Saccharomyces cerevisiae S288C: one gene and its partner. The gene in region 1 interacts genetically with each later gene. Each region holds a gene or a part of one and is shown in the gene's direction. Other genes may lie near its edges.

What was found. A genetic interaction does not mean that the proteins touch.
Region 2: mutations in ZNG1 (region 1) and YEA6 together harm fitness more than expected from each alone (negative genetic interaction), as found in Saccharomyces cerevisiae (one large-scale study listed by BioGRID).

What each region holds. Positions count from the first base shown.
Region 1 is NC_001146.8:676,533-680,248, reverse strand, and holds ZNG1 (GTP-dependent zinc transferase), read left to right. Parts: upstream 1-1,760; coding exon 1,761-3,050; downstream 3,051-3,716. Other genes in the region: ALG12 (dolichyl-P-Man:Man(7)GlcNAc(2)-PP-dolichol alpha-1,6-mannosyltransferase), read right to left, coding at 1-1,450; peptidylprolyl isomerase family protein CPR8, read right to left, coding at 3,146-3,716. UniProt on the Saccharomyces cerevisiae protein: Zinc chaperone that directly transfers zinc cofactor to target metalloproteins, thereby activating them.
Region 2 is NC_001137.3:142,214-145,834, forward strand, and holds YEA6 (NAD+ transporter), read left to right. Parts: upstream 1-2,113; coding exon 2,114-3,121; downstream 3,122-3,621. Other genes in the region: MIT1 (Mit1p), read left to right, coding at 1-1,679.

The sequences.
Region 1 (3,716 bases):
TGTTAACTAGCTCCCAATGGTTGGTAGTCTTATTCTCGAATGGCAATTGAGAGGCGGTTGGCTCGTGGGTGATCAAGAAATCAAAGGAGGGCCACATTTCCTGCAGTAAAGTCGTATTTTCAGTCTTATCGTAATTGATGCCGTACACACCGTAGTTCAATTCACCAAATAAAGTGACACCTGTCATGCAAGGAGGTATGCTGATATGAACTGTAGCGTTTGTAATATTTTTTTCCACAATCATGTCATTAAAAGAAGTTAAAGCCTCGCCGCCTGGATAATTCATTCTTGATATATACAAGAACGCCATTGAAATGAAAAAGGAGGTCATTATAGATAAGGGCAATATAGCCAAACATAAAACATTGGTAATCTTTTTTACTTTCATATTCTCCCATAGATGTGCTGCTCCTGTGGCACCTAGCAACATGATAGATGGAACAGCGTAGATGATGAATCTCCATTCTTTGTGAGGTTGAAAGGATAAGACGATAATGTGGAAAAGAGATGCTAGTGAGACAATTTTTAATTTTGCAGGTGCTAATTTATAGCCGAAGTAATTCAATAGTAAAACAGTTGGTGGCATAAACATCATTCTCAAGTAATGCGTGAAATAAGCAGTAACTGGCTCCACACCCCACTTGGAAGCGTAACCCGCAACCACGTTGAACAAGAAACCATCTACCTCAGGTAGACACCATTCTTGCCAGAAATATGAATCAACGGTGATACTGATGGCGGAACCAAGTCCCAAGCCAAAGATACCGAATTTGATAGCATCGAATAAAGAAATCTTCTTGAAGATGACGCTAAATAGAGCAATACCAGCACTGAGAGCTGACACTTCCAGTCTAAATACAATTGCCACGAGCGCAGATAGGAATATAGCTGCATTATAACGACCCAATAAAACCCACCCCAATGCGACGTTGGTTAGAGGCAGAGTCATGACAAAATTAGGCAGAGTCCTAGTGCTGTAGAACATGAGGTGGAAACTGCCAATTAAAAATAAAAGAAACCATGTACCAGCGCTATCGTAAATGTATATATCCTTGTCTTCATTTTCTTCCTTTTTCTTTTCAGTGATTTCATCAAACATATCTTGCAAACAATTCTTTAAATAGATAAAAGAAAGCCCATTGGTGAGGCCAACAATCCCCCTAACGACCAATTGAACATCTATAGACGTAGGCCTGGAAGTTTGGATCAAAGAACTCAAGTAAAGATAAGGTCTCGAAAGCATTGCAATAATCACAGCACCAACGAATGTTCTAGGGACTACTCCAGGAAATTTCAAGTGGTCATATTGGGAGATATCAAATACGCTGTAGGTTAAAATATCATGAATGGCTTGAATATTAAAACTCTCTTCCACCTTGGTGAATGGAGCTTGGATTAGATGAAAGGAAATCACGGTCAATAGCACTGTATCAAGGACAGACCAACGCATTGTCAACTGAATCGTTGTTTAATGGCTTTATTCAACTCTTTTAACAACACTAATCGTTAATGGTTTCACTTGCTATTAGTAAATTCCTTGCGTTATAAACTGTGAAGTGCCACGACATTTAATGCCGGCTGGTAAAAGGTTGTTCATTTTTAAGGGCCGAATTTTTCATTTTCATTTTCATTTTTTTTTTTTTTTCACTATTGGAATAACATGTATATTATAAATATTATATAATATTAAATGTTTAATGCGCTTGTAAAGCCAAGAACACCCTTTTCATTGAGGAATTTTCAACTTTTAAAGCGGAAGAATGTCTGCATTGAGAAACATCAAGTTCAATGAAGAAGAAGATGGTGAACTACCCTGCCTCGTAACAGGTGAAGAAAATAATCTACAAGAAATTTTGGAAAATGTCTCGTATGATGGTGGAAATATTGTTAGCGATGCAAAAGTTGAAAGGGTAAACAAGCAAGTGGAGAACACTTCTGCAGGCGCAACAGATGTGCACGAGAAAAAGCGTATTCCTGTGAGCATTATTACCGGCTATCTAGGATCAGGTAAATCGACGTTGCTGGAAAAAATTGCATTAAAAGGTGCAGATAAAAAAATTGCCGTAATTTTAAATGAATTTGGAGATTCTAGTGAAATCGAAAAGGCTATGACCATTAAAAATGGATCGAACAGCTACCAAGAATGGTTGGATTTGGGTAACGGGTGTCTGTGTTGTTCGTTGAAAAATATAGGTGTTAAAGCCATCGAAGATATGGTGGAGCGTTCACCTGGTAAAATCGATTATATCCTTTTAGAGACCTCCGGTATTGCAGATCCCGCCCCCATTGCGAAAATGTTCTGGCAGGACGAAGGATTGAATAGCAGCGTTTACATTGACGGGATCATCACGGTTTTGGATTGTGAGCATATACTAAAATGCTTAGATGATATTTCCATCGATGCCCATTGGCATGGTGACAAAGTTGGTTTGGAGGGGAATCTGACTATTGCACACTTCCAACTAGCCATGGCTGATCGAATTATAATGAACAAATACGATACTATCGAACATTCACCAGAAATGGTCAAACAATTAAAAGAAAGAGTACGGGAAATAAATTCTATCGCACCGATGTTCTTCACCAAGTATAGTGATACGCCGATTCAAAATTTACTAGATATTCATGCATACGACAGTGTACGGATATCTGACATCTTAGATAGTGGTAGCGGAAACGGTACCATTCATGATGATCGAATGGGCACAATAATGCTTACTTTCAGACCATTAAAAAACGAGGAAGAATATAATAATAAGTTTATTAAGCAATTTTTGCAACCTTTATTGTGGAAGAATTTTGGAGCCATGACAGTGCTGGGAGGGCGTCGCCGAGATGACGGCCGTGATTGGGAAGTACAAAGAACTAAAGGTCTGATACTTATTGAAGGAGAGAACCCCATTGCTCGTGTAATCCAAGGCGTCCGCGACACCTACGATGTCTTTCCAGGCAAATATGACGGATCCAATAAAGAGTGTAAAATTGTGCTGATTGGGAAGTACCTAGAAAAGGAATCCATAGAGGAACTGTTACGTAAAACCCTGGAATGATGGTTGGCATAATAAAGACGAGGTAAGTTATGTATATTTATACGTATGTATGTGATACAAAATGAATGAATATTAAGCGGATGGATCGAAACATTTTAATCCTCTCTAATAGAAACTATTTTAGACGATCTGTTGAATATTCTTTTCCTGTACTTGGCCAAAACGTAGAAAAGTAACAATACCGAAATACCAAGCATAATCTTTGGTAAAGGATGGTGAAGCTGATTATATTTTGCGTCTTCTAACTTTCTTTGACTACCCTGGTATAAATAATTCTTCAATGTAATACCTTTCTCCAAATCGCCGTTTTGGTAATCTTGAAGCCTTTGTAAATACTTTTCGTGAGCTTCCTTTGCATGCTGAATCCTGTGTTCCTGGGATGAAATGTAACCTATTGTTATTGGTTGCTCTGGTTTGCCATTTTCGTCAGTTTTCACATTAGCTAGTTTATCCATCAGATCTTTTAACCCGGCGGTAACTTGGCCAAACACAACACTTTCACCTTCAAGTGGCGTCTCACTGGTCTCAATTATAAACTTAAGACCCTTATCGTCCTTAATCATGGAAACTCTGCCTGGCCTATCATGAATTAAACTATGATTTTCTTCCGGGAGTTTTGGAGCCAACATTTCCGTTTCTTCAATAGAGGAGGAAGAAACGGAGCTA
Region 2 (3,621 bases), on another chromosome or scaffold:
ATGGAACTTCTGGCGCGAGAAATAACCCTTCTTCGTCGAAAATCAAGCTACCTCCTTTGAAGAATCACCAGTTTGATTTGCCACCTACTATGGGCCATTCAAGTTTTGAGTCAGAGCAAGACACCTCCATTTCTCCATCAAACCGTTCGAACTTACCTTTAAAGTATACTGGCCTGGTGAAGAAGACAATATCTGTGAAGCTGAAGAGACCTCCATTCAACTCGATTGAAAATTTACATATTGTCTCTTATTATTCTGTAAAAGATATAAAACAAAATTGTCTAGTGACTCCTAAAGCTTCTCCTTTTTTGAAAGATGTTAGACCTTCACAGGAACTAATTGTCGCGATGGGAAATACAACCTTAGGCAACGTGAAAAACAATTCCACTACCACCGGTAATGGTCCTAATAATATAAACAATAAAAGCAACTCTTCCACTCCCCTGAATACTGTTATTTCCACGAATAACAATAGTGCTAATATAAATGCTGCTGGCAGTAATCAATTTACTAGTGCAAACAAAAATTATTATTATAAAAATGATGAAAGCTCTGGATACCCAATCACTCAATTTGCTCCCGCATTACCATCAACAACTTTGATGTATACGGCGAATCCACCTTATATCACTCAATCTCCTGATAACACTAACGCTACTGGTATGAATACACATGTTAATAATAACAATAATAATAGTAATAACAGTAGTAATAGTAATAATAGTAACAATAATAATAATAATAATAATAATAATAATAATAACAATAATAATAATATTAATAATATTAATAATGTCAATACTAATGCAGGGAACGGTAACAATCCAAATAGATTCCATAACGCCTCTTTTGCTTATAACACCACCGGTGACTTTATTAATCCGCAACAACAAGGACAAATTTCTTATCCATTTTATTATACAACAATTCCGATAAACAATCCTAACTATTATACCACACAACCTCCAAACCCTGTAACAAACGCTTCAACGAACGAGAATCAAGGCTATTCCACCTCCTCAACTCAACACCCTTATTATGGGCATCCTACTGAAAGTCAATCAGCATCAGCAGCCGCAGGCGCTACTGGCACTCCTGGTACAGCCGAGAATGTCCTTCCCGTATCCAGTATGCAGCCACTACTCCATCAAGCCAATAATAATAGTGCAAGCTCTGCTACCTCTACAGCTCCTTATCCGGTGTATTCTATGAATGTGAATGTTCCTTATTACAATTCTTCTGCTTCTGCATACAAGAGGGCACAAGAAAATACTACTTCAAATACGAATGCAGAACCTTCTGGTGCTACAAGCACTAACTCAGGCACCATGCTATCAAATCCTGCATACGCTAATTCTCAGTACACTCCATCGCAAGTGTATTACCAGGGATTCCCCCAATATGCCATGGCAAGTGCTCAAAATCCGTCTATGTATCAACACCAGCACCAACATCCTTTGCCCACTGTATATCCAATAGCGACGCCTCAACAAAATATAATGAGCTCTGGTCACACTTTGAGCACTATTGGATCTGATCCTCAACATCATCACTATCAACAAGAGCCCAACGACCACAAAAACTTCGCTATGGGTCACGCGAACAATAATATCTTAAACATCACCAATAATGATACGATGAACAACCTCAATACAAACACTTCAACTACTACACAATAAGTAAATATATTTTAAAAAAGTACTCCGATTTTCTTTTCTTCTCCTTGCCTTTTTGAGTATCGGGTTTACTCATGAAAATTATATCATTTTTCATTTTACAGTTTTATATACTTCGCTTCTTTACGTAATCATGCCTTTAATTTCATCTTCATTTGCCTATGGAAAAAAGCTATTCCTTTTGACATCATAAAATATCTTTATTAAAGAATCCCCTCTGTCAACATTTTCTACGAAAGATAGCTTAGTGTATTTTTTGAAGATGCTGTCGAAAATGATTCTCGACATACTCGCGCTGGTGGAAAAATGAAGTGGAAAAGATAAGCAAATTGATATATAAGCAAATAAACATATAATTTGGACGTACATCGAAATTAGTTGTTCTCAACTTATTTTCATTGTTTGATGAAAAGCGGAATATACATCACGGCTATATAATGAATAATGGAGACAATAAAACGACATTAGAAAACTCAAAAAATGCGTCACTAGCTAATGGAAATTATGCGATTCCCACAAAACTAAATAGGCTGAAAAAGAATGCTGACCCTAGAGTTGCTGCAATTTCAGGTGCTTTATCTGGTGCACTATCCGCAATGCTGGTCTGTCCTTTTGACGTTGCGAAAACAAGATTACAAGCACAAGGTCTCCAAAACATGACACACCAAAGTCAACATTATAAGGGGTTTTTTGGTACATTTGCTACTATTTTCAAGGATGAAGGTGCTGCTGGGCTTTATAAAGGTCTACAGCCGACGGTTTTAGGTTATATTCCTACTTTGATGATTTACTTTTCCGTCTATGATTTCTGTAGAAAATATTCGGTCGATATTTTCCCACATAGTCCGTTTCTCTCAAACGCTTCTTCTGCAATTACTGCAGGTGCCATCTCTACAGTTGCGACAAATCCGATTTGGGTAGTAAAAACAAGACTTATGCTGCAAACAGGTATCGGTAAATATTCCACCCATTATAAGGGTACCATAGACACATTTAGAAAGATCATTCAACAAGAGGGTGCTAAGGCTCTTTATGCCGGCTTAGTACCAGCCCTGCTGGGGATGCTGAACGTTGCTATACAGTTTCCTTTATATGAAAATTTAAAAATAAGGTTCGGATATTCAGAATCGACTGACGTATCGACAGATGTGACGAGCTCAAACTTTCAAAAATTAATATTGGCCTCTATGCTATCTAAAATGGTAGCATCTACCGTGACTTATCCTCACGAAATACTTCGAACTCGAATGCAACTGAAATCCGATCTTCCAAATACTGTTCAACGCCATCTCCTTCCATTGATTAAAATTACGTATAGGCAAGAGGGCTTCGCCGGCTTTTACTCTGGGTTTGCAACTAATTTGGTAAGGACAGTACCTGCTGCTGTGGTAACACTAGTATCGTTTGAATATTCTAAAAAGTATTTAACTACTTTTTTTCAATAAAGTGAAACAGAAAAATGTACATGACACAAGCTGAGGGTCGTAAAAAGCATCTTTCGCAATTGTTTCAACCTCATGACCCCTGTCTTGACTATGTATTCCTCTTTACGTCGGGCTACTCGCAAAATCAAGTAGTTTTAAACCTTTAGTATGTTGCAAATAAAGAGCAAAAAAAGAATTTATTCATCCCAGGAATCTCACTACATTTCGTAGGGGAAGAAATGTAGATTTGAGGTTCATTTGGCTCGTGAGAACGACTTGAACCTTATTCATACTTTATATAATATTTTAGGAGTATTGTAGCATTATGTATATTTTTCTTGCGGGTGTGCACTGCCGAAATAGCTGCTGAATATCCAGATTAAAAAACTAAACAAAAAACTGTTTCTTGTTCGAATAGTAAAAGAAGGTTTTCCCAAATGCTATTGTTATTTAGAAACGCTGGAAATACAGTATTTTTTGAAGAACTATCCGTTTTACCCGAACCTATTTTAATTCAATTC